Linked DNA regions of Nothobranchius furzeri. The protein of the gene in region 1 purifies or fractionates together with the protein of each later gene. This does not show direct contact. Links are inferred from orthologs where the notes say so. Each region holds a gene or a part of one and is shown in the gene's direction. Other genes may lie near its edges. The genes, in order: lyar, gtpbp4 and gnl2.

Region 1 (10,459 bases):
TATTTTAATAATGTAAATACATCATCAGTACAATCTGGAAGAACAATCTCCATCCAGATTTAGAATTCATATAATTATTTTTGCTTCCTCCAACAGGTTACCGCCAACAGCACTGGCCAGTTTCGAATAATCCCAATGAAGGCGCATTAACGCCTTTAATCTGTGAATCCTGTGTTCTAGATTACTGCTCCATGTCGTTATCATTCTGCAGCGTTTTCATAGCCAGGCCCCACAGAGTCACACTGGAGATAAACTGGCCTTCATTTGACCTAAAAGGCCTGCTGGACCCTGTGAGGGAACTACAGTCTGTGGGAGGCAGGTAGGGTCTCCCTGCTGGATCTCTCTCGATAGACATATTCCCATTCTCCATGTAAGGACCATACACTACCTCTGGAGACGCCTGCTGTTTGGACAGCTTGATGCGATCTGCAGAGAGAAGAGCTACACTTCTCTCCTGGTGGCTGGATGACAGGAGGTGATGAGGAACCAAGGAGCGTAGCTCTGGAAGGGATGTCAGTGCTGGGCTTAAATGCATGCTGGGAGATGAAGTCTCAGCATGTTGTGTTGCTTGTGGTGGTGACGGGCTTGGTGGTGGGGGTTTATCTAACCCTGTGTTAGGCAACATAGCAGAGGAGTGCTGTTCCAGGGTGGTGGCAGGTGGCTTATTGGGGCTGTTGGGCTTGGCGAATGAGGCTGCTCCATCGGAGCTGTCCGTCTGCTCAGAAATGACTGTGACTGTGACTGGGCTGGAGACTGGAGGCCCCTTGCAGTGCATACTACTGTGTCTCCTCAGCATGGCAGAGCGGGTAAAGCTCTTTCCACAGGTATTACACACATACGGCTTCTCACCGGTGTGTGATCGTATATGTCGCTGCAGGTCTCCGGAGCCAATAAAACACTTACCTGCATAAAACGAGAAATATCACATATAAAACATTATTTAAAGCTGCAATGGCACATCTGGTAAACAAGCTGGCTTACATTTTTTTTTCATGCCTCCTAACGACATTCTGGCTATAAATATATTGTGTAGATTCAAAAGGGTTCGAATGAAGGCACCTGGACTTCTTTGGTTCCTTGAAGACCTTTTTTTCTCATCCAAGGAGCCTTTGACTGTAATATAGGCAGGCCAAGCTTATAAACTGTGGTTGTCTGTTGTTTCTTAACGAGCAGAAACTACCTATGAATACCCCTCCTTCTGATGAGTCGTTAGCCTCTATTGTGTGGCAGGCTAACCACTCATCACTAACACTAAGGTTGGCTTCACACCACGCAGTCAGCCCCAGCCTGACTGGGTTAATTACACACATCCTTCCACATATCCATAGGAATGCGGACGTGACTGAGCATATGGGCAGTCTCCGAAATTGGCATGATTTCATGAGCGCATCTCTGTGCAAGTTGGCAGGGCAAAAGATGCCCAGAGAAGTATGTGGCGTCTCCCATAAATTAAACAAAGGTGGCTGTGTTGCTCTTGGAGACTGACTCTGATATTGCATCCTGCTCTGCTGTGTCTATCCTGGCGCAGCTCAAGCCTGGCAGCATTTTTTGTGTGTCTGTGTGTTCTCAGAGAGAGACAGAATGAGACAGCTTCAGTCAGAGGCATTGTTTCCTCAATATCCAGAATGATAAGGAATCCTGCATGTGGGATGCCTCCGCTGGCTAATTTTATCTGCCAATCTGAGGCACCCCATAATGGTAGGCGGGATTTTGAGCCAGCCAATCAGTCGGCAGTAGGTGTGTTGATTCAGTTCAGTCCGAAGCAGACCTTCTTGGGAAGAGGGCTGAAAAAAACGACCGGTTGTGCACGGAAGAAATCCAAGCTATGCGGATGTGAACACTTCTTATCATATTCAGGCGGAGTGGAGCTGGGGCGTGTGGAAGCACTATAAGCAGAGAGGCCCAGAATTCCCTCTCCCCAGCCACCTGGGTCAGCCAGGGTTTGCTTAGCTTTATTTGATTATTATGTAATAAATATATTGGTTATGAACTTGTTGTACTAGTTTTAATGGTAAAACAAAATCTTAAACCTTATTTTTGATTATAATCAGTCACTCAGTTTTTCACACAGGCTGAACATGAGGACATTCTCCTACACCTGTCTCCTGCGTTAGCTTCTGATAGAAAATAGACGATGAAACTATAGGATTTAAAAATCCCGACATATCTACGTCACACTGTCATTTAACGCTCATGAACTCCCCCATCTTGACTAGTGACGGGGAAAGCTGTTGTTGATTTACTGCCCGGGAAACAGCAGAGAACATCTCGACTAGCAGAAGCCAACCACTAGCATTAGTAACTCCACCACAAAGCAGAACTCCTCCAGGCTTGTGTTATTTGTGGAGATAAAACATCAACGTTGGAGTAAGTGGTAGAGTCACCTTGCTGTCATCCAATCTGAGGCGAGATGTCCAAATATCAGTTAATAAGACTCCAAATCCTGTCGTCTGAAGCTCATCCCTGTTGTGGCTCACTTCCAGTTCCTGAAAATAGTGCACTGATGCTTTTTTCCCTCAGAGTACGACTTACATGGCATTCATGTCTACTAGAGACCGCTCCAATTATACTGATTAAATGAGTGTTCCGCACCTTAAAAATATATGCAGAAAGCAGTGCAAATGCAGAATGTAGGCCTGTGTTTAGTGTCCAGGGAGTAAAAGCTGGTCACTTTGAAAAATACATCTTAACACCCAAATGTAGGGAAAAGTTGTCAGTGTAACTACATAAAACACACACACACACGCACGCACACACACACAGTGTGGTCCTTTAAACAGAGATGGCTTCTTACCACAGGTGGCACAGCTGTGTGGTTTTCCTCCAGTGTGACGAGCCTTGTGCTTCAGAACCTTTCTGTGTGTGTTGAATGATTTTCCACACTGGTCACAGGCAAAGCTCGTGTCAGTTGCATGAGTCATTTTATGCTCCTTCAGATTGCTCAAGTTGTTAAATCCTGCATAACAAGACACGTCAAAAAGCACAAAATGCTATTTTCCAACTAAAGCTTCTACTAGATGTCAGCCGAAGAAAAAACAATGAGCAATTAGAAAACTGAGACAAAACTTTGAGGGATGCAACCTACCTCGACCACATATATCACACAGATGGGGTTTCTCTCCTGTGTGAACCACTTTGTGACGCTGGACATCTCCTGATGCAGTAAAGCTTGAAAAAACTCAGTTTTAGACACTTAAAGACACATTTTAGACTATAAATATGAAGTGTAGTAGTAGTATTAGTAGTAGTACTAAAAACGTATAATTACCTTTTACCACAGAGCTCACAGATGTATGGCTTCTCTCCAGAATGTCGCCTCAAATGTGTCTGTAAATTTCCTGCCTGTAAAGTAAAATGTTACATTAATCTCCATTTAACCCAATAAATACATAATTATAAACCAAAAAAATACCTGTGAGAAGTGTTTTCCACAAATACTGCACTGGAATGGCTTCTCACCTGCATCAACAAAATAATTAATGGTGTTATTGTACATGAGTGGGAATATTAAGCCGTAATAACAGGTAGTACCTGTGTGCGAGCGCTTGTGCAGCTCCAGGTTGCTCGGGTGTTTAAAGATCTTCCCACAAACTTCGCAACAATACTGCTTGTGTCCTGTTTGCAGAGTGGGCTCTGGCACAGGCTTTAAGTTTGTCTTCTTTTGGTTTATAGGAGGAGGACTGGGAAGCTCAATGTCTGCTGCCTCTGAAGCTTCCCCTCTATCTGCAGGGCTGCATTCTACTGGAGGTGCTGGGACTTCACTCCGAGTGATGTTTTCTTCTGAATGGATCTCTTTGGGACAAATGTGGATGGGCTCGATGGCCGCCTCAGTGCACATCTCCTCCAGAGCCTTCTGAGACCGGAGGTAGTTATATTTCTTCAAGTACACTGTCTTCTTGGGACGAACGGTCTTGTTGATCATGGAGTCAGTTGGATCAGAGTTGGAGGTGTTGAGATTATCTGATGGAGTCAAAGACGAGACTGTGCTCTTTTCAGCTGGCACAGATGTACAAGAAAGGTTAGGTTGAGGCACGTTTCCAGAGGTTACAGGAGTGTTGTTTCGACTCTGGCTCATTCCAAGCTGCTCTTCTGATAACACTAAAGGACCTGGGCCCTGGTTTGAAGCTGCACTACTGGTTTGCAGAGCACTTTGTTTGAAGTACTGCTTACTGTAAAAATTACGGAGCTTATATCCATGAACCAGCTGTTTTTCTACAGGTGCATGAGAGCTGCTAGGTATGTCACCATTTGTGCTGTTGCTAGGCAGAGAAACTGGTATCCTTCTTGTGTGGTCCAGGTCACTGTAAAAATTTGGCCTCTGGGATTCAGAGGTACAGTGAAGGTCAACATCATGTGGAAGACCACTGCCCAGAAGACAGTCATGCTCTGAGCTCAGCATGCCTGGGAGGGAAAAGGAAGACAACTCTGCGGGTGGGGGGCAAGGCTTGAGGAAGGCGTTACACATGGTCTGCACATTTGGAACCTGCAAGCTCTGGGCAATGTCCAGAAGCGCTTGTACGTTTTCTTGGTTAACGTCGAGATGGGAGGTATACATGTAATCCAATATTTGACCAATGCCACTGACATCCTGGATAACCAGGTTGAAAACGTCGCTCTTCTGACTTGGAGAGTTTTGGAACAAAGACCTGGAGAAATCCAATTATAAAACAACTCAATCATCTATAGAATCGCAACATGATTAATAGAGAAAGCTAAAAAATACAAAAACATGTGGATTTTTATTCATTAAATTGACTTTAGGGCACCTGAAATAGGAACTGAAAGCAGCCAGGACATTTTTGTGGGCTTTGAAGCAAACACCTTTAACCACCAACATGCAGTCACAAAGAAGTCCCTGAATTCTTTGTTCCTGGAGCTGCTGGAGAAGGTATGAGCTGTGGCTGGACAGGGAGTCCATGGTCACTCAGCTATTGGACCTCTCTCAACTTCAACCTTACATCAGGGGAAAAAGAAGAAGAAAACAGCTTATCTGTAGCTAATGGGTAACAAACAGCTAAACTGGGTTACAAATGCATTCTTCAGCTGATTCTGGATAAACTTTTGAACTTCATATTTTCATCTATTTTGTTCTGTAAACAGCAGATTTCCGCTGGGCCGAGTTACGAGACCAGCCATGCAAAAATAACAAAATGTCTGCACCAAGCGATCGCAGCAGTGCGTAGGAAAATTGGCTGAACGCGAAATTTCTTTAAAAAATAATGTTTTGAAAAGTAAATAAATTAGATTAACTGCCAACAATCAACTTTAGAAATAAACAAAGCCAACAACTCCCTTAATACATTCCTACCTTTCATTGGGATGATGGGTCACTAGACTGTGGTGACTTACGTCACTTCCTGGTACAGCGCCTATTTCGAAACATGAACACAGATAAATAAATATATATTCTGTTTTAATAAAAGGAATTACATGCTTGTAATTTTATTGGTTAAGGTAATCAAACATTTTTGGCATAATGTTTCCTCTCCCAATCTTTTAACGTTATTTTAATAATTGTAGGAACGTTTCTTTGGGAGCATTTTCCTCACGGAAGGCTAATAATGTAGGATTGAATTGCGTGAAGTATACACGTAGGGAATCAGTAAATGTGCTTCTAGGTGTTTTTTTTGAATCCGATAACTTTTATAAAAGCAACGTATGTTGTTCATCCGCTTGAAAATATTAATTGGCAAATATTATTTTCTACTTTTGTTAGTAGGTTTATTTTTTGTTGTCCACATTTGACCGTTAGCGCGTGCCAAGTCTAGTACTGGGGGATTGTTCCACATTGAGCATCAAACGTTGTTTTAACTTGCTTTAAGAAGCTAAAGGCACCGAGACACAGAAGTCACTGAATTGCTTTTAAAATGGTGTTTTTTACTTGCAACGCGTGTGGTGAATCGTTAAAAAAAGCTCAGGTTGAGAAACACGTGAATATGTGTCGTGGTTGCCAAGTGCTGTCCTGTATCGACTGTGGAAAAGACTTCTGGTAATGGCTGGCCGAGTGTTTACAATCCATAGATTTCTGTTCACAGACTTTTCTTAGTGTAAACTCTTCCATGCTTTCTACAGGGGTGATGACTACAAAGATCACAACAAATGTATAAGTGAAAATCAGAAGTATGGAGGGAAAGGCTACGAGGCTAAGGCAAACAAAGGAGATGTGAAACAACAGCAGTGGATTCAGGTAAACTTCTCTCACCGAACGGTGGTTCCTCCATCCATCCATCCATTTTCAGCCACTTATCTGGAGTTGAGTCGCAGGGGCAGCAGCTTAAGCCGAAAGGCCCAGATTTCCCCCTCTCTGGCCACTTGGGTCAGCTTCTCTGAGGGAACCCCAAGGCCTTCCCTTAGGTCTCCTCCCAGTTGGACGTGCCTCATCAACCTCATCAAGGAGGCGTCCAGGAGCTATCCTGACCAGATGCCCGAGCCACCTCAACTGGCTCTTCTCGAAGTGGAGGAGTAGCGGGTCTACTCCGAGCCCCTCCCGGATGACTGGGCTTCTTATCCTATCTCTAAGGGAGAGCCCAGCCATCCTGCAGAGAAAACTAATTTGGCCGCTTGTATCGCCGATCTCGTTCTTTCGATCACTACCCAAAACTCGTAACCATAGGTGAGGGCAGGAACGTAGATCGACCGGTAAATCGAGAGCTTTGCCTTCAGGCTCAGCTCTCTCTTCACCACGACAGATCAGTACAACGCCCGCATCACTGCAGATGCAGCAACAATTCCCCTATTGATCCCACGCTCCATCTTTCCCTCACTCGTGAACAAGTCCCTGTGATACTTAAACTCCTCCACTGGAGGCAGGACCTCATCCCTGACTCAGAGAAGGCATTCTACCTTTTTCCGATTCAAGACCATGGTCTCGGGTTTAGAGAAGCTGCTTTGCACTCTGCCGTGAAACGCTCCAGAAGAAGTTGGAGATTACATTTTGATGAAGCCAACAGGACCACATCATCTGCAAAAAGCAGAGACCTGATCCTCAGGCCACCAAAACAGATCTCCTCAACAACTTGGCTGTGCCTAGAAATCCTGTCCATAAAAGTTGTGAACAGAATCTGTGACAAAGGACAGCCAGGGCGAAAACTACATTGTTCATCCTGAATCTGGCCTTCGACAGTCCAACAGACCCACCTTTACAGAACCCCTGAATAGACCTTTCTAAGGAGTGTGATCTCCCTGTAGTTGAAACACACATTGCAGTCCCCCTTTGTAATTAGGGGGACCACCACTTCAGTCTGCCAATCCAGTGGAACTACCCCTGATGTCCACGCGATACTGCAGAGCCGCATCAACCAACACAGCCCCACAACATCCAGAGTCTTAGGGAACTCTGGGCTCATCCACCTCCAGAGCCATGCCACCGTGGAGTTTTTTTTTTGGTGACCTCAGTCCCAGAGATTGGAGAGTCCATTCCAAAGTCCACAGACTCTGCTTCCTCCCTGGAAGACGTGCCAGTAGGATTGAGGAAGTGTTCCACCCATCGATTCACAACGTCCCGAGCTGCTTGCCCCTCCTGAGATGCCGGATGGTGGACCAGAATCTCCTTGAAACCATACGGTGGTTTGTTGTTGACTGAAATATTTTGTTAAAATTCAGACTTTATGTATCTTTTTTTTCAGAGAGTACATGAAGCCATGAGCAAACCGGGTATCAGTGCCAAGCTGAAAGATGTGCTTAGACAAGTCAGTACGTATGATAACGTTCCAAGAAAGAAAGCGAAGTTTCAGGTTGGTACAACTGTGAACAGTAACAGTTATTTTCATTTGACGGTCATACACAACTGGATCTCCTTTCAGGTTGAAGGCATTAAGATACAATGATAACATTGAGCAACAATACCCTAAATTCATGATGCTGTTCCCACTAGAAACAGTGAAAGACACTGTTAAAAAGCAAATATACTATTCAAAAAATTAGGTAAAATCTAATAAATGACTAAATAAGGCATCTCATTCTCTATAATACAATCTTTAAAAGTGCAGTCTCTAAATTATAACATAACTAAATAACTATTCACTTAGTACTTCATGGGGCAGCAGCCTAAGCAGAGAGGCCCAGACTTCCCTCTCCCCAGCCACTTGGGCCAGCTCCTCCGGGAGAATCCTTAGGTGTTCGCTGGCCAGCCGAGAGACATAGTCCCTCTGGCTTTGGGTCTCCTCCCGGTGTCCAGAAAAACCTCACCAGGAGGTGTCCTAACCAGATCCCCGAGCCTCCTCGACTGGCTGACAATATTAATCCTGTTTCCTCTTTAATTCTAGTGCATAATAATAATAATAATTCATTGAACTTATATAGCGCTTTTCTAGACACCCAAAGGCGCTTTCACACACTCTCACATTCACACACTGCTAGTGATGGTAAGCTACTTGTAGCCACAGCCGCCCTGGGGAGGTCTGACAGAGGCGAGGCTGCCATTTGGCGCCGTCGGCCCCTCTGACCACCACTAACACAGGCAAGTTGGGTGAAGTGTCTTGCCCAAGGACACAACAGCAGGATACCCCTGGCGGGAGCTGGAATCGAACCCATGACCCTCCGATCATGAGGCAGCCCGCTCTACCACCTGAGCTACTGCTGCCCCATGGCATAAGTGTCTGACTGGTTTTTGTAAAGACATTTTGTTTGTTCTTTATGTGCAAAAGTCCATAATAAGGACGCTTTCATTTTGAACACCTGTAAACAATAATGATATAATTCTATAAAGGCCTAAACATGATTACATTTTTATAGTGCCGTTCTAAGTCAAGGGCTTTGCTTTACACACACTTACAAAGCCAACTTCTAACCCTCGCGTCACTGTCACTGACTTACTTCAGACAAAGTATTAATTTAGCAAAAAAATAGCACTTTTTATCCAAATTGCTGTAGCAGATTTACAGACAAAATTGTGGTTTTGACTTTTTAAAGTTAAATTATACCATGTAACAAGTCCATTCCTAGTAAATAGTTTCACTTTGTGAAAGTTAACCATTTTATTTTCTTTCTTTTTAGAATTGGATGAAAAACAGCCTTAAAATAAACAACACGAGTCTACATGATGAAGTGTGGGAGATCATTTCTGCTGCAGACGTAAGTTCTGAGGGTTCTTGTATGAATGGAAGGCAGCAGTAGCTCAACAGGTTGAGCGGGTTGTCCAGTAATCGGAAGGTTGCAGGTTTGATCCTGGCTCCGGACAGAGAATTCTGCTGTTGTGTCCTTGGGCAAGACACTTAATCCACCTTGCCTGCTGGTGGTGGTCGGAGGGACCGGTGGCGCCTGTGCTCGGCAGCCTCGCCTCTGTCAGTGCGCCCCAGGGCAACTGTAGCTACATTGTAGCTCATCCCCATCAGTGTGTGAATGTGTGTGTGTGAATGGATGAACGATACACTGTAGTGTAAAGCGCTTTGGAGTCCTTACTCTGAGAGGCGCTATACAAGTGCGGGTCATTTATCATGTTGTCAATGCAGCTTTCCACTGAAGTTACAGCCCTGACTTGAGTCCATGTTTGTTTACTTGTTGGGAATAATGCTGAGTCCTAATTTCATTGGTGAAAGTGGCTGAAAACATGCTTTTGATGACAATCTATCAGTTAGAATTTGCCCGCTACTTAGATTTTTGAAAGTTATTAAAGTTTTTCCTTTGTTTCTACAGTAAAAACTTATAGCATTCATTAGTTTTCTATTTCTGTATTTTATTGCTGAAAAATGCCAAGAGATCAGAGATTTTTTTTGTCCTGAATAAATCTAATCTGACTGACAAAGTCTAGATTTCATTAAAAAAAAAAAAAGAATAGGACAGCGGGTTCTTTAGTGAGGTCCTGATCAGGAGAGACTTTATTAATGGAACACTTTCCAGATTTGCATCTAAACCTTAAACTTGGTTTATGGCTGAAGTTCAGGCCACCTGAACAAGAGGAAGGCTGGAAAGCTTATGTAAGTGTTTGCAACACGTTAGGTCTGACTTACTAAAATAAATGAATATTGTTTTTGTCACCATAATAGAAAAAAAAAGAGACTGATGGATGAAATCTGATCATTTATCGAGTGGAATTTGACAGATTTCTTTATTCATTTATTTTTCTCTTATTTACCTTTATTGATTGCTACATCATCAGCCACTTTATCAATTAGTGTTTAAAAGTTAGCCTCCCTGCTGCTGTGGTTTTACATAACCACAGAGGCTTCGGCACTAATATAAATACTGACAAAACCTTATGGTGGTGTGAAAAGCAAACTTAATGATGCACACCACTTCTGTGCAATACTGTAAGCATCTCATGCACACTTTTAAACAGATCACCACTTTGTGAGTGTCTGAATAAGCCCCTAAAAACAATAATATTCTATAAATGACTGAACTAACTTTGACGGACCGATAAAGCTTCTAATCAGATGTTTATCTGGCTTTTGTTTCTTGTTGGTTAATAAAACAGGTTTTAGTTTAACTTTCATTGCCCTCTCATCGTCTTTCAGGCTCC
Region 2 (10,545 bases), on another chromosome or scaffold:
ATGCAAACTCCATGCAGAAAGATCCCAGGCCGGGAAGCAAACCCAGGACCTTCTTGCTGCAAGGCAACAGCTCTAACCACTGCGCCACTGCGCAGCCCTCAGTAACACTTTATCTACCTTTAATTTTCTCTACGCACCAATCTTAGAGCTGCGGAATGGAAATGGCGCAAAACAAAAGATCCTGGTGATCTATTGAAATTTCAGGAATTACTGTCCTCATTCTCTATCAGCATCACTGTTGCAAAGAAAGCTTTCTACACTGACAAAATTCTCAGCTCTACTGACTCTCAGAAACTATTTTCAACATTCAAAACTCTGCTCACCCCTCCATTTCCACCTCCTACCAACAATCTATCAGCTGACACCTTTGCCTCATTCTTCACTGACAAAGTGGCAGCTATAAGCAAACAGTTTACTCAACTGGACACTTCTGAACATTCACTACCACAAACTCCTTCTAGCCCAACCATCTCAGGCACTACTGCGTCATTTTCCTCTTTTCCCCTCTCACTGAGAACTGTGTCCAAGCTTCTCATGTGCAGCCGCCCTACTACATGCCCACTTGACCACATTCCGACTAAAGCTGCTCCAAGCTACTGCTCCTACAGTAGCCGCAGCAGTCACACATGTGATCAACGCTTCACTGACATCCGATACATTTCCCACCTCTCTCAAGCATGCTCAGGTTAAACCGCTGCTAAAAAAAAAAAAACATCTCTTCCTCCAAATCATGTGGAGAACTACAGACCTATCTCTCTCCTCCCTTTTCTGTCCAAAATAATTGAAAGGGTGGCTTTCAAGCAGATCACAGAATACCTCTAACAAAACTGTCTGCTTGACCCTTACCCATCTGGATTCAAAAAGGGCCACTCCACTGAAACTGCTCTGTTAGCAGTGACTGAATCCTTAAAAGAAGCTAGTGCAACAGGCAAATCCTCAGTGCTTATCCTGCTCGACTTATCGGCTGCATTTGACACTGTCAACCATGGCTTCCTTTTGTCCACACTCTCTAGCATGGGCATCACAGAGAAAGCACACGCCTGGTTAGAATCGTACCTCACAGGATGATCATTCAGTGTATCTTGGCTTGGACAATCCTCCACCGTGCACCATCTTGCCACAGGAGTCCCCCAGGGCTCTGTACTAGGACCTCTTCTCTTTGCCATATACACCACCTCACTGGGTGAGATCATTAGATCACATGGCTTCTACCACTGCTACGCAGACGACACCCAGGTCTATCTGTCATTTCCACCGGATGACCACACTGTCTCTGCACAAATATCAAACTGTCTCTCTGACATATCAAAACGGATGAAATCCCACCATCTCCAACTCAACCTCTCTAAAACTGATCTACTTGTCATCCCAGCAAAACCATCCATACAGCACAATATCTCAATCCAAAATGACTTCCTATCTCTGGCTCCTTCAAAGGCAGTTCGAAATCTGGACGTTGTGATTGATGAACACCTGAGCTTTAAAGATCAAGTTGCCTCTGTGGCTCGTTCATGCCGCTTTGTGCTGTATAACATACGAAAGATCAGACCATACCTAACACAACATGCCACCCAGCTCCTGGTGCAATCTACTGTCATCTCCCGCCTCGATTACTGCAATGCCCTTCTAACTGGTCTTCCAGGCTGTACTGTGAGATCTCTTCAAATGGTCCAGAACGCAGCGGTGCGTCTGATCTTCAATCAGCCAAAAAGAGCACACGTCACCCCTCTGTTCATTGAGCTCCACTGGCTACCGCTAGCAGCACGCATCAAATTCAAATTGCTAACACTAGCATACAAAGGCTGAGATGGTACGGCTCCCATCTACCTGAATCCTCTTGCAAAGGCTTACGTCTCGGCCCGGCCGCTCCGGTCATCACAGGATCGTCGGCTAGCAGTGCCTACACCACGCCCAGGACAATCCAGACTCTTCTCATGCATCGTTCCACAAATGTGGAATGACCTTTCAAGCACTACCAGAACTGCGGCTTCCTTTTCAATTTTCAAGAAACTCCTGAAGACCCTGCTCTTCAGAGAGCATCTTCTTAACTAGCACCCTCCCTGCACCCATCCCCCTCTCTACTGTCCACTCCTTGTTCCCTCCTCTCCATGACTGATGTCAATGTTGTTGTTGTTATTGTTGTTGTTAGCCTCAAGGGCAATATGCCGATCATCACTTGTAAGTCGCTTTGGACAAAAGCGTCTGCTAAATACATAAACATAAACATAATTTTCTGGGTAGGTTGCAAGTTGATATGATTGTTATGAAATATTAATTGTCTGATGCTTTACACCTAAAAGAATTAATGTGGTGCAGGAAAACCTTCATATGAGATTCATCCGTAAATGGTTGACTCCACAATGGTGGTGATGAGCTTCATTGTAGCCACAGCTTCCCTGAGGTGCAATGACCAACCACCACCAGCAGGGAGTGTCTTGCTCAAGAACGCTGCAACAGACGGAGCGGGACTCAAACTGGCAACCCTCCGGTTACAGGGCAGGAACCTAAGTCCTCTGCCAATGTGCATGAGGACTTTCAGATATAAATAGATGTAAATCCAGCTTTCTTACTTTCAAACCCTGAAGTCATTGACAAACATAAATTTACAGACAAGAACTCTCCTTATGAAGAAAGTGAAATAAACTTCACTTCTGTCAGTGTGCCCCTGGGCAGCTGTGGCTACACTGTAGCTCATGAACACCACATGACTGTGTGTGGGTGAGTGACTGGCTACGCTGCAAAGTGTCTTGAGGGGTTTTAGAACCTTGGAAGGGTTTATATTTAATACAGGTCATTTACCATTTATAATTAAGTAATGTTCCTAAAGACTTGTTTATAAACCAACCAATATGCATCTTTGATCCCTGGTTGATTTTTACAAATTATTTTATTACAGGTTTGTATTATTTTGCAAATTATTTTCTTTTCAATTACTTGTTCATAGTAGTGACTCATTTATTACAGAGTGCAGATGTCATAATTCCTTCATTATTTTCTATTTTATTTATTAGTTTTATAAAATGTATTATTAATTATTTGTACACCCAAATAATTCAGCAACATTGTGCTTTTGTCCAAATCATATTTCTTCTACCTCTCTTCTCACCCCCATTTAAAATACAAAACACAAAGAAGAAAGAGGACAGAGTAAACAAAGACAATTATCATAGTACAATTTATTTCTGAGTGGACACAAAACTCAATAATTCATTGCAGTCAGTAGTTTCTGATCAATGTGCCTGCCTCTGAATACTTAGATTGTTTAAGTCTGTTTTGATTGCTTGTAGATATTGTACATGAGAACAGTCATTTGTCTTTATGTCTAACTGATTTATCTTTTTTTATTCTTGTTTGTTTGATCTTATCTGCTTTTCTTTTGTGTAAAGCAAATTGTCTGTCTGTTGCTGCTGCCTCTTGGTTAGATCGTCGTTGCAAATGAGAATGAGTTAAATCATCTGGTTAAATAAAAAATAAATAAAATATACCACATCCCAGTTTTGTTGAACTTCTTCGTGGTAAACCCCCAGCTGTTGGAGTGAGACCTCCTTAAAATTTGGGATGTCTTTGGTGCAGCTGTCAGGGGGCTCGACCCTCCGCCCCTTCGTCTTCGTTCTTGCAGTGTGCTCCCCTGATTGGTCCAAACTGCACGCGAACCTCACTCGTGATCAAGGAGTGTAGGCGTGGCCTTGAAACACCACTGCACTCCGATTGGTTGTTTGGTGATTAGCGCGGGTCACAACAAATATGTTGCGCCCCCATAGACATGTTTTCATCGATGGTTTTCATGTAAATTGTACCTCCGTCCCCTTCCATGTAAAAATAAAAATGTACACATTGTGAACGCAATGAAGTAAAAGTGAAGGTGTCCACATAAAGATTAGAATAAAACACTTAAAAATATTGAAATACCTAGGAGAAGGTTGAGTTTCTACATTTTAAATTAACCAGAATTTATTTGTATGCAACAAAGTTCAGCTGAGAATTTTTCCAGTTAAGTTACTAAGTGCACTAAGGTTGGTTGAATGTTTAAATAGACTTTTAATAGACGTGTTATATTCTAAAAGTATATTGGCATAGGCTTTCAAAAATATTTTACTTGAGCACAGCTAATTTTAGCTGACTTTAGTATGAGTGTTTTGTCTTAAATAGTACCAGGAAGTATAAAATCAAATAAAAAATCATATGATGCCATTAGAAGTTGCGTATCAGCTGTTTATTTTAGAGTTCAGCCCTTTTTTAATGTTTGGGGGATGTTTACATGTTTCTAATTGCTGTGTGCACTTATGGCCGCTAGAGGGCGCCGAGCAGAAAAGTTTCCAGTTTCTGCTGGTGGTCTCAGACTGACTCGTTTCCGGTTCCTCTCCGTGCCGTCGGTGGCCCTAAACGTGTCCTGACAAAATGGCACTTTATAACTTTAAAAAGATTATGGTGGTTCCTACCGCCAAGGTGAGTTTTATTCCACGATTTCCGCTTTTTCAACTCGGCTTTGACCATGCTCTCGCGGTTAGAAACGACCGTTGGTTGATAGAAATGAAAACAGTTAAATGGAACGAAAACACGTGGGACAGCAACAGATCATTGGATGAAAATCTGCGAGAACAGTAGATTTTTACCTTAAAACGAATAGGACACGATTTATTAAACTAAACGAGGTTTTCCTGCGTGTTTACGTAATGTCTGGGATGATTACACCACTGTTTGAAAAGTAACGAGCTCCTCAATTTTTTGTTTTAGCTAGTAGCTACCAGTAGTCGTAAATAAAATCTAACTCTGCTTTTTAATCAGATGTTTGTAATTTTAAGCGTTTCAGTTGCTTAAAATGTGTTCTAAAAGCCCAATCCAAAGTAAAGAAGATCATATAATAAAACGTTTCAGTTTGAAGTGTTTTTGAAAAATGACTTGATAAACATTGTTTTCTGTCAGCCAGAGGCTTGGCTGAACCTTGCAGGATAACAGAATGTCTTAGAGAAAAACTGTCTTTGTGGTCTCAGGTTATTAACCAGTGCACTCTTCATGTCTGCAGGAATTCATCGACATCACTTTATCCAAAACACAAAGGAAGACGCCCACGGTGGTCCACAAACATTACCAGATCCACCGCATCCGACACTTCTACATGCGGAAAGTAAAGTTTACCCAGCAGAACTATCACGACCGGCTCACGCAAATCCTCACAGACTTCCCAAAACTCGACGTAGGTCACCGCCCTTTACTCATCTGGAGGCTGATTGTCTGATTTCTGGGATTTGTTTGTGAATTTGGTCTGTGTGTCTCTCCAGGACATCCATCCTTTTTATGCTGATCTGATGAACGTGTTGTATGACAAGGATCACTACAAGCTGGCCTTAGGACAGATTAACATCGCCAGAAACTTGATTGATAAGTAAGTTTGGACTTCAGAGAATGTGAACATGCATCATGCAGTTTACAACACCCTGTTTGGGTTATTGACATATAAGCAATCCTGAGGTTTCGACATGAATCAAACACAAAATTAATCAGACAGTTTAAGTTTAACCTCTGTCCCTGTGGGGTTGGTGAGGTGTTCAGGTTTTTTCTGCTTTGCTAAAGATTTTTAAATTCTGTAAGAACACATAAACCTACAGAGAAGACCATTTAGGCAGTAGAGTTCTGCTGTTAAACAACCAGTGATTCTAACAACAGAACCCAAAATTTCTACAAACAAGTGATTTTTGTTTTTTATAACCTTCCAGCGTGGCGAAAGACTACGTGCGCTTGATGAAATATGGAGATTCTTTGTATCGGTGTAAGCAGCTGAAGAGAGCTGCTTTGGGCCGAATGTGCACCATCCTGAAACGACAGAAATCCAGTCTGGAGTATCTGGAGCAAGGTGATGAGTTGTTAGTGGGAAAACTTTGTGATTAAACATCAGTTTCTGCTGCAGATTCCTGTGGTTTAAATCTGACTTCCTGCTCCTACAGTTCGTCAGCACCTGTCCCGTCTGCCGAGCATCGACCCGAACACCAGGACCCTGCTTCTGTGTGGTTACCCCAATGTGGGCAAATCCAGTTTCATCAACAAGGTCAGCTACAGAGATCATTTTTTCATAATTAATGTTGACTGAGACCAGCTTTCCAAGCATGGTACTAACTAATGTATTAAATCAGCCTGGTTTCCCTTCTTCATTAAAGAAAATGTGAAATGTTCACCTCACTAGGTCACCAGGGCAGACGTTGATGTCCAGCCGTATGCTTTCACCACAAAGTCTCTGTTTGTGGGTCACATGGACTACAGGTACCTCCGCTGGCAGGTGAGATTCTGCTGCTATTTTACTGCATTCATGAACTCTGGTGAACCTGAAATATTTGAAGAAGGTTTATTGTTTTCTGTTTTCTGTTCAGAGTAACTTAAAGAGCAAGTCAGCCTCAAATCAACTTTTTTTTTTTTGCTGATAAATACCGTTAATCCTCTAATACAGGCCTGGGCCTGTATTTGACCCAAGCTCACCAAGCTCCAGGCCTTTATTGGAAGGAGGACCAGAATTAGAGACAGGCCTCAATTTCTATTTGAGCAAAATGAACTAATGGTTCGCTGGAGTTTTTGACAATTAAAATTGCGCCCACGTTTTCAAAGTTAAACACATTTCTTTTAACAACGGTAGTTTCTGCTTCAGCCCCCTCCCCCTGCGCAGCGGCTGCAAACTCACTGATGAGCCTGCAGCCTCTCGGAGTTCCTGCTGCTCTAAACATTAAAATAATTATTTCATTTTCTGTTCCTCACTTCTGATTACCGTCAATGGTGTCTGTTTGTTGCAACCACCAGGTACAAAAACTAACTTGTTTTTATTTGACTATTTTTCTGTCCTGCCTGTTTATTATCTTCCTGCATCTCCTCTCAATCCTAAAGAAAAACTGCTACCTGGCTTCATATATATTCATCTTATGAGTTACCTTTGAACTGCAGTTCTAAAAGATTTACCGACCGCAAAAACAGCGGAGTGCGCGCTGCTTGCCGGCCACATCAGTTAGGTGAGTCACCGGAGGACAAAACAGGTGATGCACCCCGATCCACAGCAGCGAAACGCATCAGGCACAAATAAAATAATTTAAAAAACAAAAAACATAAAAGGAAATGAGCCAACATGAACGATCGCGTGTTAAATTAGTTTTTGAGGTGGCAACACCTGATTTGATAATGTAACTGTGGCCGTGCTCAGGACGCAGATGTCTGGAGCGTGTCAACAATCAGAGCTTTGCATGCGCAAGCTGGTTAAGGTTAGGATGGGGTGAGGGGAAGGTTAAATTGCAAGAGGGTAAATGTCACAATTTGGTTAAATGTCCGTTTTACGGCGGGGGTCAGTGCCGACGCTCTGGCACAGCGCGTCGCCTCCCAACACGCAGGAGCTTGTCACCTGCTGACAGCAGGCTGCTGTCTTTTCCGAGGACTGTATCTTGCCGGTCATTATCACGTGACAGCGACTAGTCGATGACGGGCATAAAAAGTCACTATAGAGCGGTGAAGTCGACTAGTGACTAGTTCATACAACCCCTGCTACTGCTCCCCAGAGTGTTCTGCAGCATAATCAGCACGTTCTCTTTGAACTTAATATCAAATTTTCGCCTCCTCTTCATCTCCGCACGGTTAAAGTTACCCTCGCGGTCTATCACTGGCAAATCAAAAGTGAGACGGATGACACAACTGCCCCCCCCCCCCCCCCCCCCCCCGTGGTACTTGCTTGTTACCACATTCCACCCGGCCACAATAAAAAAACGGCCATTATTCACCGACTCTGACACTGGCCAGAATATGATACCCAGCAGTTAATTATATACAGGCCAATATTAGAGGATTTGGTATATAAATGAGTGTCTAATCGTGCTGTAGACATGTGTAGTTAATAATTTGGCACTTTAGTGCATCTTAGTTACAATTTTAATTTTCTGCCTAAAACTGTCATTATTGCACCATCTTCAGGTAAAAACTCTGCACTGCATGTGAATTTAAGTCTGCCATCGCTATTGGCTAAGCGGTTACACTATGATGTTAGCTGGTACATTATGATGTCACAATGTCATCTTGAGCCTTTGTTTGTGTATTTGCTAGCGGCTACGCCTTCTCGGTCTGCCAGGCAACAGCATTTGTTGCATTTTTCAAACAGAAAGTGGGAGTGGAGTAATACTCTGGCAGGGGGTGACTTGCTCTTTAAGTGTTCAAACTTTACCTTCAAGTTCCGCTTATAAAACAGCTGAAACCGATCAGGAAGTTGTTTCTGGTGTCCGCTCTGATGCTCTGCTGACACGTGTGTAGGTGGTGGACACCCCCGGTATCCTGGACCATCCCCTGGAGGAGAGGAACACCATCGAGATGCAGGCCATCACGGCTCTAGCTCACCTTCGTTCAGCCATCCTTTACGTCACTGACGTGTCTGAGCAGTGCGGACACACCCTGCAGGAGCAGCTGGAGCTTTTCAACAACATCCGGCCTCTGTTCACCAACAAGGTCAGACTCCAGAGCTGTTACAGACTAGATGGAAATGCACATTTAGTTGTTGCAATTTAGCTACAAAACAACTTAATCAGTTTAAAACTCATCTTATTTGCTTCGTTCTCTCTCTCCTTTTTAAGACTTTCAGACTTATAGGAAGAGACTAGTTCCAGATGTTTGCAGATGAGGTGCCACAGCTTCATGTTGTGAGAAAAAATATTACAAACATTTAGGGAAAATTCAGCTTGCAGTTTGTCACCAGCTGTCGCGGCCGAACGTAAACCTGTCAGAAAACTTTAAACAAAAGAAACAAGCAGTAGCTCAGGGGCAGCAGTAGCTCAGGTGGTAGAGCGGGTTGCCTCATGATCGGAGGGTCATGGGTTCGATTCCAGCTCCCGCCAGGGGTATCCTGCTGTTGTGTCCTTGGGCAAGACACTTCACCCAACTTGCCTGTGTTAGTGGTGGTCAGAGGGGCCGACGGCGCCAAATGGCAGCCTCGCTTCTGTCAGACCTCCCCAGGGCGGCTGTGGCTACAAGTAGCTTACCATCACTAGCAGTGTGTGAATATGAGAGTGTGTGAAAGCGTCTTTGGGTGTCTAGAAAAGTGCTATATAAGTTCAATGTATTATTATTATTAAGAGTTTAGACCTTTAGGACGTATGGGACAGTGTGTGGTGCTGTCCAGGCCGCCACAACTTGTGTCGGAGGTAAGGGCGTGTCCAAGTCCTCTGCTGTGTTTTATGTTTGATTAAAATAACTCGTAAGTGTGGGAGGAGTCTCTCGCTGGAAAGGGTCTCTAGTCTTTCCTCTAATTCCAGCCTCACCTGCACTGGTCACACGCCCTATCTGACAGAAACGCAGCAATCTGTTGCCTCAAAAACCATAAAAATATTTGCTCCGTTCATTCAGCTGACTCCAATCTTGCTGGTTTTTCTGCAGCCTCTCATCATTGTTGCAAACAAATGTGACGTGAAGAAGATCAGTGAGCTGTCGGAGGAGAATCAGGTGTGATGAAGACCTTTGTGCCACCAAAGCTCGTCTGGTTGATGATCCGAACTCAACCGTTTTCTTTTATTGAATGTTTTTCTTCAGCTAAACCTTTAGCGTTGTTTCTCTGACCCTCGCTGCTTCCTTTTCTCCGTCTGTTGCTAGAAAATCTTTGCGGACTTCACGGCGGAGGGAATCCCCGTCATTGAGACGAGCACGCTGACGGAAGAAGGAGTCATGCAGGTTAAAACTGAGGTGAGATCAGATGATCTTCAGGCTCATTTCCTCCCGGCTGAAGGTGTGAGGCATCATATCAAATGCTCGTATGCTTCTCAGGCATGTGACCAGCTTCTGGCTCACCGGGTCAACACCAAGATTAAAGGCAAGAAGGTCCACGATGTTCTGAACAGGCTGCACCTGGCCATGCCTGCCAAGAGGGATGAGAAGGTACTTCAGAACGTTCAAACTGACTTTTTAAGCTTTGTAGATTCTTAATTTTACACTTTTAGATTTTCATCTGCTGTTTGTTTCCCAGGAGAGGCCCCCGTTCATCCCCGAAGGAGCTCTGAATCGTAGGAAAGCGATGGAGGTGGACGCTCCCAAACGCAAACTGGTACGTAGACGTTCCTTCATGTGCCTGATCTAAAGTCTTCAGTTTTATTATTTTAGTGCTTATGGTCTGTCATAGTTGACTATTAGTCTGATGTATTTAGGATTAAATATAGGAGGTCTGACACCTCGGTAGTGCTGCTTTCTGAAGGTGTTTTCGTACTCAGCCGTGTGTTTAAACATTTTCAGGAGAGAGACCTGGAGATGGAGCTCGGCGATGATTATGTTCTGGATCTGCAGAGTAAGAACAGTTTTTATTCTAATGACAAAACATCTGCTGCTGTGATTTAGTGGAAAATAAATGTTTGTTTTCTCCTTTGTTAAGAATATTGGGACCTGATGAATGAGGATGAGAAGCAAGACACCATTCCTGAAGTGTGGGAGGGTCACAACATCGCTGATTACATCGATCCTGATATTATGAGGGTGAGTTTGCTCCAGAAAACCAAAACCAGTGGCTGTATTTGTTCTCAATGATCTCAGCTGTTGTTGTGTTGTCCTGAG
Region 3 (9,939 bases), on another chromosome or scaffold:
TTCTAGCTCTGTCTCTGGCCCTATTGTTGCATTTTTGGGTGCTCGGTTTACCGTACCCTGTATGTCCCTTAATCACTGTGACTTTATCCAAGCTGGTTCTAATTCAGGAAAGCCAGAATTTACTCTGATTTGACATCAGTTTGCTGTGGATAGAACTCTGCAGCCATCACTGTGACTTAATTCCATCTTTAGCTTAATGCACATACCGTATTTTCCGGACTATAAGTCGCACTTTTTTTCATAGTCCGGCTGGTCCTGCGACTTGTATACCAAAGTGACTTATATACCAAATTATGTAAACCGCGCTGCTGCGGGCCGGCTCCGGTCCAGGTTTCAGCTCCTCTGCTCCGCCATCACCTGCTGGCGCCTGTGGCGAGCTGCTGCGGGCCGGCTCCGACCCAGGAATGAGCTCCCCTGTCCCGCTGGGAGGGTTTGAAACACCGCCATCCTCTGCTGGAGACCGTGGTGCGCCGCTGCGCCCTGGTTGTTTATTCTGTCATTGTTATTGTTCGGGTTCACACCTTCACTTTGTTTATACTCATGATTTTATTTTCTATTTTATCACTGCTATTGTTTTTCTGATTTTTTTTTATTGGTTAGAGGTATTTGCCCTGATCTTTATCATGTTGTACAGCGCTTTGTGATTTATATCTGTGAAAGGCGCTCTAAAAATAAACTTTTACTTACTTACTTACTTACCGGTACTTGTCTTGCAATGTAAAATGCTTGGTCTCAGATTTTGTAAGAAAAATAATAAAATTTTCCCCAAAAATGCGACTTATAGATGCTTTTTTCTTCTTCATTGTACATTTTATGGCTGGTATAACTTGTACTCCGGGGTGACTTATAGTCCGGAAAATACGGTAACTACAGCATTGTTGATCAAATTTCTGTACTATTAGATATGTCTCCTGCACTGGACTGTGTAGAGAAACTTGTAAAATGCAGTTTAGTCTTATTTCTTTTTTTTTTTTTTTTTTTGTACAGAATTCAAAGGTACACATTTTAGACACGGAAGGTTTCGAGACCACATTTGGACCCAAGGCTCAGAGGAAACGGCCCAGTCTCGTGGTTGAGGATGTGAAGGACCTGTTGGAGAGAGCCGAGGCCTCGGCTCTGAGCTACGACGCCGACAAAGACAAAGACTTGGTGACAGAAGACTCAGGGGTCCGGTAAGTGCTCAGGAGTTGTTGGGAGTCTCCAATTTTAAGGTTTGAAGATGATTATTTTTTAATCATGGTTCTGCAACAGGGACGAAGTCCGCGAGGAGATTTTCAAGAAGGGTCAGTCCAAGAGGATCTGGGGAGAACTCTACAAGGTAGGGATGTGTATTGGTGAAATTCTGGCGATAAAATACAGGGTAAACGATACAATATAGCACGATATATTGAGATGCATTCAGTCAGACGATATTAGAGATTTTTTTTTGACTGAATTTATTGTAGGAAAGTTCAATAATCAGTCCAAACTGATACCTAACATGTTTAGCATGAGGTATCTGAACCATAATTGAGGGATAAACATCTCAATGGTGGAAACAAAACCCATTGCACACTGCTGCTAACTAGCAGACGGTGTCTGAATTGCGCCAATACAAAAGAAAATACACAAATGTTTGCATGAAAATTCTTCCAAAAATTAGATACACGGCTTTTGAATATCGATATGTCGCTGGAAAAAAATCACGATAGATTGCCATATCATTATTTTCTCACATCCCTACTACAAGGAGATTGTTTTTATCCTCCTTTAATGATTTGTCCCTTTCAAAATAGTCAAAATTGGGAATAGGGCCAAGAGTCCCAGTAATCAATCGTAGCTAGGCCTGTGCAGTACACCAATTTATTATATGAAAATTTCATACGCTTGGTCATTCCGTACGCTACATATCATATATTTTGGTGAATAGCCTAGACAACGTCTGAAACATTCACAGTGGGAAAGTGTTTCAGCCGGGACCCATTTCACTGCTACACAATAACCCCACAGCGTGTGCGAAAAGTAAGCATTTAGCATGCTAATGCTAACACAGCGGAGGTAGCTGGGCCAAATGCACGTAATTATGTGTGTATCACACTTGGGACGCATTGTTGTGCTGTTTCACACGTAAAAGAAAGTCAGCTGTTATGTTTAATGGTGGACAGTAATGGTCATGTTGGTGGGTTGGGGTTGTATGGATGGACTGTTTCATCATTCTTGTTTACTGTTATTCTTAATTAGGAGCATGTATTGGCAAGACGATAAAATATTTTGCGATACTAAAAGCCAGGCGATATTTGCAATTTTCAAGATTGAATTTAATTGTAAAACTCAGGCCAGACCCTTCCAGGAACACACATCCATCGTTGTTGCGAGATCTCGTTGTTCCACAAGACTGAAGGACGATAAAAACTGCTGCCACCTAGCAGTGGGAGGTGGAATTGTTTGCACATAAGTTCTCAATGAAAAAATTGATAAACAGCTTTTAAACGTAACAGCTCCTCACAAAATATTGTGAAGTTCCGGTACATCAGTGTTCTCTCACATCCCTATCATTAACAGGTGATTGACTCGTCTGATGTCGTCATCCAAGTGCTGGATGCTCGGGATCCCATGGGAACGCGCTCCAAGAGCATCGAGACTTATCTGAAGAAGGAGAAACCCTGGAAACATTTGATCTTTGTGTTGAACAAGTGTGACCTCATCCCCACCTGGGTCACGGTGAGATGTTTGCTGGGGTTGGACTGGAACTAACTGAATTCATCCTGTAGATATCCATAAATATGATGAAGTTGTAACCATTTGCCTCTCCTCTTTTTACTTTTGAACCAGAAACGTTGGGTAGCTGTTTTGTCCCAAGAGTATCCGACTCTAGCTTTCCACGCCAGTCTGACTAACTCTTTTGGTAAAGGCTCCCTCATCCAGCTCCTGAGGCAGTTTGGGAAGGTAAACCCCGTCTAAGAGCTAATCATGTCTTAAGCAAAAACAAACTTCAAGAATATAGTGACAGGAAAAAATCCAGAGAATTGACCCTTTTGGTTCTGTTTTGAGTCACCGTCACCTGCTGACTACTCTCAAAGTCATTATTGGCTGTACACCTCTTTTGGAGTTGACCCAATCTAAAATGGCCACTGCAGATAATCACCTAAAGAAAATGTGACAAATGCCTTTAAATCAGTGAATTCTCCAACTAAGCAACTAAAATTCATGTTTGAGGAGCAGACAGTGCTAACTGATATTTTAAGATCGTGCCATAGAGTGAGAGGTCACATATAAAGTTATTTGGTAAAATCTTGATCACTTTGGTCTCAGTTTAAACCTCTAGCCAGAAAGTGAGTGACCTGTGATTGAACTAAAACAGAAACACATCTATGTTATAGGAGAGATGGTTATTTCGACCTGCTTGGATTCCAGTAAAGCGTTTTACTCGCCACAAATAATAATCTAAAATTTGTAATCCACCTTATGTGGGCAAAACCAAGTTTAAAATGTGGGTAATTTGTGCAAATTGGCTTATTCTGGGTACATTTTCTTGCTCTAAGATGAAGTCAGTGTCCTGTTTTCCCCAAACTTCTTACTCTTTGTTTGTCATCACTAGCCTCCTTCAGTTGCTTTTTATTTTGTGGATTTTAGGGAAAAACATGTTGAGTTAAGCTTTTGAGAGTGGCTCAGTATCCTAAGGTTGGGGATTTAATTGCCCTCTGCCAGTAGGCTGAGCCCTTCACCGATTGTTCTTCTAGAGGCGTCTTTCATGCCTATGAATTAGCCTTGTGGGTCGGACATTACCTACGTGCAGGTCAAACCACTCTTTAGGATTCTTGTCACTTACCCAAACAAGGATACAACTGTAACTAGTATGGATGTGTACTAATTCTAACAGTACAATTCATATCACGATATACTGCGATACATTCAGCCAGGCGGTATTAGCTTTTGTTTTAGTTTTTTAACCTGAATTTATTGTAGGAAAATTCAATAAACAGTCCAAACTGATACGTAACATTTTTAACATGAGGTATCTGAACCATAATTGAGGGATTTACATTTCAGTGGTGGAAACAAAACCCAGTGTGCACTGCTGCCACCTAGCGATTGGTGCCTGAATTGCACCAAAAATAAAAGAAAATACACAAGTGTTTGCATGTAAATTCTTCCGAAAATTCAAAACATGGCTGTTGAAAATTTATATAATATTGCAGGAAAAAAGTATTGCGATATATTGCCATATGGAGATTTTCTTACATCCCCAGTAACTAGACACACCAACTCTGCAATTTCTAGGTAATATGTAACTCACTTTTCGAAGCTTCTTATCACCGACACAACAGAACTATCTTGGTCCACAAGGGTCCAATAAAGTAATTAACCTCCAGTCTACATTAAATAATTTAACACCACTAAAACGTCCACATTTCCTTTAGATTCCACTCGCCATCATGTAGCGTCCAGAAATGGTCAGTTTTTCATCTACGGTTTGACCTCTTCAGTATCCGGTCATATGGAGACGTAAGTCTTAACTGGAGCCTTTAATCTGCAAGAAGGATACTGTTGCTTGACCAAGGTCCCTCTCAAGTTTCCTCTTTATCTGCTTTGCTTCGCAGAACAAGAAGAATGAACTTTTATAAGAATGAACCGCTATAACGAATACTGGATGATGTAATGAAATACGTAAATAATCATATGGTTGAATGAACAATAATGGCTGAAGAATAATAACGACGTTTTGATTAATCTGTGCTTAAATTACTGAAGTTGAAATGAATATTTTTATGTTGTGATCAGTAAAGTTTGATTTAACAAGTGAATCATTCATCTACTGACAGCTCACACACTCACACACATGACGATGACAAGGTTGCAGTAATCTCATGACACATTGCTTTCTGGTCCACAAATAGAGCTCCTGTATCTGATGCAAGGTGTGGTTTCTGAGGTTTGTTGACAAACCCCCTTTACGTGTCAAATTCTGATTTGTCAGTAAGTCAAAATATGGCGATTATTAAAACAGAACTCACTTCCTCGTGCGTCAGTTGAGCTGAACTCTGGACTGGCCATCGGAGGACAACTCTTCTCCCATCGCACGCTACAGCTGACCGCAAACGGTTCCTTCAGAATAAAGCTGACGCAGCTCCGACTCCTTAAGACCGGATACTGAAGAGGTCAAACTGTAGATGAAGAACTGACCAATTCTGGATGCCACAATAACCTTCATTAGCATCCTCTTATTAGCTGCAAGATCTTTCTAGTCCAACAGGTAATGGGGTACCCCCTCTGCTGCATCAGCTGTTGGCCGATAGGTCAGAAGCACCGCCCCCTAATCTCACCTGCGTTGCTCAAACCAGTTGCAGTGAAGTATATTGTTGATTGACACATCAAATAGTTGATAAAATTCAGACAACAATCTCTCACGAGAACCCTTCACGGTCTCTTCACACGAGCATTATTATACTTTAATCCTAAGGAAATGTTCTTTCTTTCCATAAAGTTATTCAGGTTGCTTTTTATGAACTATTTGCATTTATATTCATCTGCTTTAGTTTTTCTCTCCTGCTTTTGAAGCAGTTGAGTAAATCTGTGAAACATTTTCACTTTTTCTCTCCATCATTACTCACATTTATCAATAAGCAGCAATCAGTTTCTCTGTCAGCTGCTCCACCTGAACTCTGCTTCCAGCGGGTTTGAAGAATGATGTGGTTTGTGTTGAATGATGAGGCTTTCTTCTGTATTCTATCAAGATGACAGCTTCATCTTTAAAATATCACATTCCAGTTTGCTGCACCGGTCTGCTCTTGTGTTTTAAGTTCATGAGTAATAACATCTATGTTGTTATTGTGATGACAACAGGGGACCAATCTAAAATTACAGCTCTTAACCCCAAAATTCCACTATCTCCGCCCCCGCCCTCCGCTGCCGCTCGCTTCCGAACTCAGATTATACTGTACCCGCTCTACAACGGCTCCGCTCCGGTGCGGAGACCTGAGTTGCGCAAACAGGCATGCGCGGGATTTTTGAGATCTTGTGATACAGTCCGAGCAATAAACGCGGAAGTTAGATCCAAACACCCGTTGTGTGGGAGAAGCATCGAAAAGAACCGTTTAATCCGCCCATCATTTGTGTTGAGAGATCAGCAGTGTTTGAATCAACAAAGTGTGACTACGTTGATAGTGGAAACGGTATTTATGGCTTATTTTTGTGCATTTAAAGTTCAACCGCGTTGTTAAAAGTTGTTAAACCTGTGCATTTGAAACAAAAAACGCTTTTTGTTATCGATTTATTGTGAAATAACGGAAGCTGTGCTTGCTCCCTTTCCTGTTGGGTGGTTGTGATTTCTGTCCATTTACTGCGGAGGTGCTCCGGCGTCCGGCAAAAATAGAATCGATCCTATTTTTGCCGGATGACGGAACGGAGGGCGGCGCAGTGCGCCGCACGACCGCAGTAGTGGAATTGCTCTGATTGACTACAACGGGACCGTTTTTGCTGCGGAGTTCGTGCCGGAGCGGCGATGGTGGAATTTTGGGGTCAATCAAGTCATTTGTCACAAAACAATGCAGAGGTTTTCTTTCTTGTCTTTTTCAGCTTCACACAGACAAGAAACAGATAAGTGTGGGTTTTATTGGCTATCCAAATGTGGGAAAGAGCTCAGTCATCAACACTCTGCGGTCCAAGAAGGTGTGCAATGTGGCGCCTATCGCAGGAGAGACTAAGGTACAGTCCAGTTGTCCCAAGAGACAAAGAACCTGAAATCCAAAATAGAAATTGACTTTGCTTTTAAATTAATTTTATAAATTGTGTTTGTCTTATTTTGTATTGAAATGGTGGGAAAGGTATAGACGATGAGTCAGTAAATACTAATGACTTTTATTTAATTACCTTTTTATTTTAATTTTTAACAACAGATCACTTCTGTGAGGTAGCTTGAACAATCAAGTAATAAATAACATAAATTCTTCACTTTTGGACTTTATTGCAAATATAAAAAGTCTAATATAAAAACAGATAGCACTTCAACTTCAACCTAAAATACCTGGCAGGGTATTTTGCCTCGGCCCCCAAAAGGCTTAGATACGTCCCTGGGCATGGGACGGAGTTTTGAAGATGATCTGAATTGTAACAACTATATAAATACTACATGCTGATAAATTATTGGTTTATACAGGTAAAAACATTTAGTGGGATCAATCTACCTAGATTTTATTTTGTTAGAACTTTGTTTTGTTTTCTTGGTTTTTATTTTCCTGTCTTCCTGTCCTGTCTGTCTCTGATCTTCCTGCATCTCCCAGTCCTCCAGAAACACTCCTGCCTGCTTCCTTCGTATTCACCTCACAAGTAACTTTTTAACCAGCAGATCAAATTAATCTATTGACCGCAAAAAAAGCGGAGTGTGCGCCGCGCTGCCTGGCAGCTCCAGCGACGAGTGCTGCAGCGGGGGCACGTCCACACGTCATGCTCGAATACAGACAGAACTTACCAGAGAGAAAATGAACGGACACGAATGACTGTGTATTAATTATATATTTTTGGGTGACGCCACTTCGAAACTTAGAAAATGTTACTGTGGCCGTGTGCAGAACGCAGCTGGAGTTCATGAATAATCAGCGGTCTGCCTGCTGCTCTCTGCATCTCTGCTCTAAAGAATCCCCGCTACACTGAGTCCATATAAATAATATAAAATAGGTAGAAACTGGATCTTTGTTGTGCTCCTTCTGGGTGTGTAAGTTAAGGACATCAGGGGAGCCTGACGACCTTTAAGGAGAACCAAGTTGCTCTCCTGTAATTTGAGCCCAGTATCCCAGTCCGGATCGGGAAGTAAAGCCCGAGTCCCGATCAGTCTGAAACCACGTGATCGGGGCCGATTTCCTAGCATGTGATCGGGACATCCCTACTGGAAATTATAGCTTAAATTTATTTTAAAAAATAGCTTCAATTTGGTCAAAGTGGCCTTAAGAAAAGGTCTTAAAAGGTCTTAAATTTGGCTCCCTTAAACCTGCAGATACCCTGAAAGAGACAAAATACTCTATTTTTGATTTTTTTGTTTTTGTATGCAAATATTTACAATTGACAAAAAAAGTCCAACTAGACAAAAACCTTAAAATGAAGGAGAGACACTCCTGGTTTTCTCTAAAGTTTTATTATTATTTCCTTTTCTTGCATCATACTTGCACCACCAATGGTTAATACCTTTCTCCTGACTCTAGGTGTGGCAGTACATCACTTTGATGAGGCGCATCTTTCTGATTGATTGTCCCGGTGTAGTCTACCCATCTGAGGACAGCGAATCTGACATTGTCCTGAAAGGAGTGGTAAGTCTCATTGATCTAGTGTTGACGTCTCGACTAACCCCCGTATTTAATCATTTTAGAACAATTCTCCAGGTGTTTAAAGAACGGTGCAGTCATGAGGGATTTCGTTTCAGTGGAAGAAAATACTTTACAGGAGACATGGTCCATCCAGCATCGGGATACTTAGCAACTTTTTCTTTTTTTTTAAAAATAATTTTCTTGAGCCAATATGTGCTGAAATAACCCTTTTTACAGGGTTATTGCAATGGTACTCATACCCCCGCTGCCCCCTACGCATCTGCAACTTCAGACTGGCCGCCACTTGTGGACTTAGAAAAAATTACATGCCTGGTGCTGCGGTCTGCTTCCAGCACATTTCTTGCATGTTTTAGGTCATGAACACAGCTTATTTGTTTTATTTAGTGATGTAGCAATTAATACATATTAATTACGACCAATAAGATGTGATATTCCATACAAATATGAAATATCTATCTGATTGATCTTTGAATGTTTAATCGGAAGATTCTAGGGTTCTTTGCTTGTTCAGGGACCATAAACACACTTCGTATTAATTCAGACAGAGTCAGTATATAGTTCATAAAATGAGTTTCATTCTTTTTCCTAAACTAATGATAGATGACAAGATATGAATAAGGAGATGTGGTGTGGTGGATTTGAGGTGTTGTGATGGAAGCTAGATGTTGTAGCAACCGTTCTTTGTATCTGAGAGAAATTGTTAAATCTCGGTGTAAAAGAATTTGTTGTTTGTTATAAACTAGAGAATTGTTTATTTATAAACCTCATCGGACACCAGTATGCAGGCTTACGATACCCTTGTATGAGTTGCTCCTGGTGGTCCAGAGGGGTGTGGTTGAGTGGTGAGGTCACCGGACGTCGAAACCAAAAGACTCCGAGATTAGTAGCTTCCTCTGAGCTCAGCTTCCCCAGCCATGAGATGCAACCCGGGGTCTGCAGATTAGGTGTCCAAGGTGGATGTCTGAGTTCAAGTAGCTCTGAAAAGAGCTGTTGTGTCTTTAATCACTTGCAGCGTTGCAGAAAGGTTTTGACTTAAGGCCAAACACATTTGTTTCAGAAGAGGCTTCTTTCCCGATTTGGCCGAATCGGGGGGTCAGCTGGAATCTGAATTACTCGGGAAGTAATTCTCGTTTTAATAAACTCATTATTTATAATTTCTGGCGTATTCTGGCAAATCAGAATGTGCCATGACTGGAAGGCTTTACCAAGACATCCCTGAGAAAGCCACGCCTTCTTGTTCATTCATCACATATGATTATTTAACTTATAACTGTAAAATCATGGAGTCTTCACTCATTCAGAGTGAAGAATGTTGATGTCTGGCGTTCACACAGAGAGCGTAAGAACCTTGGGTGAGAATGTTTGAATGTTTTGTCTTGATGGAATGTCAACACACACTAAGCAGAACCTTCTGGTTCTGGAAGGCCAAATAGAAATTGGATTTATTTCTGTAGATGAAAGGTTATTATGTTGATCAATGTCTAGGTGAAAATTGGCCCTTTTGGTACGTTACAGTGAGGATCCCACTTGGACGTGTCTTTAAAACCATAAGATGAAGCGCTAAAAGCCTTTCTTGTAAAGAAATTTGTTTGTGCCATCACCAGACTCCATCTTTGACTACAGCTAAAAAACTACAGTATAG

What was found.
Region 2: the proteins of lyar (region 1) and gtpbp4 purify together in Homo sapiens (co-immunoprecipitation; 3 studies listed by BioGRID and IntAct, with this or other methods). This does not show direct contact. The link is inferred for Nothobranchius furzeri from reciprocal best matches to the Homo sapiens genes LYAR and GTPBP4.
Region 3: the proteins of lyar (region 1) and gnl2 purify together in Homo sapiens (affinity purification with mass spectrometry; 3 studies listed by BioGRID and IntAct, with this or other methods). This does not show direct contact. The link is inferred for Nothobranchius furzeri from reciprocal best matches to the Homo sapiens genes LYAR and GNL2.

The regions. Positions count from the first base shown.
Region 1 is NC_091743.1:56,227,292-56,237,750, reverse strand, and holds the start of lyar (cell growth-regulating nucleolar protein), read left to right. Parts: upstream 1-5,552; 5' UTR 5,553-5,867; coding exon 5,868-5,989; intron 5,990-6,072; coding exon 6,073-6,187; intron 6,188-7,625; coding exon 7,626-7,733; intron 7,734-8,994; coding exon 8,995-9,072; intron 9,073-10,454; coding exon 10,455-10,459. Other genes in the region: zbtb49 (zinc finger and BTB domain-containing protein 49), read right to left, coding at 182-903, 2,795-2,956, 3,086-3,168, 3,269-3,342, 3,413-3,459, 3,532-4,646, 4,767-4,918. UniProt on the Homo sapiens protein: Plays a role in the maintenance of the appropriate processing of 47S/45S pre-rRNA to 32S/30S pre-rRNAs and their subsequent processing to produce 18S and 28S rRNAs. Also acts at the level of transcription regulation.
Region 2 is NC_091751.1:36,523,952-36,534,496, reverse strand, and holds the start of gtpbp4 (GTP-binding protein 4), read left to right. Parts: upstream 1-4,300; 5' UTR 4,301-4,398; coding exon 4,399-4,446; intron 4,447-5,023; coding exon 5,024-5,194; intron 5,195-5,279; coding exon 5,280-5,383; intron 5,384-5,714; coding exon 5,715-5,851; intron 5,852-5,942; coding exon 5,943-6,043; intron 6,044-6,178; coding exon 6,179-6,271; intron 6,272-8,268; coding exon 8,269-8,460; intron 8,461-9,384; coding exon 9,385-9,450; intron 9,451-9,597; coding exon 9,598-9,687; intron 9,688-9,768; coding exon 9,769-9,879; intron 9,880-9,967; coding exon 9,968-10,045; intron 10,046-10,230; coding exon 10,231-10,282; intron 10,283-10,366; coding exon 10,367-10,467; intron 10,468-10,545. UniProt on the Homo sapiens protein: Involved in the biogenesis of the 60S ribosomal subunit. Acts as a TP53 repressor, preventing TP53 stabilization and cell cycle arrest.
Region 3 is NC_091745.1:70,688,714-70,698,652, forward strand, and holds part of gnl2 (nucleolar GTP-binding protein 2), read left to right. Parts: intron 1-987; coding exon 988-1,172; intron 1,173-1,251; coding exon 1,252-1,318; intron 1,319-2,541; coding exon 2,542-2,700; intron 2,701-2,811; coding exon 2,812-2,925; intron 2,926-6,555; coding exon 6,556-6,684; intron 6,685-8,174; coding exon 8,175-8,279; intron 8,280-9,939. UniProt on the Homo sapiens protein: GTPase that associates with pre-60S ribosomal subunits in the nucleolus and is required for their nuclear export and maturation.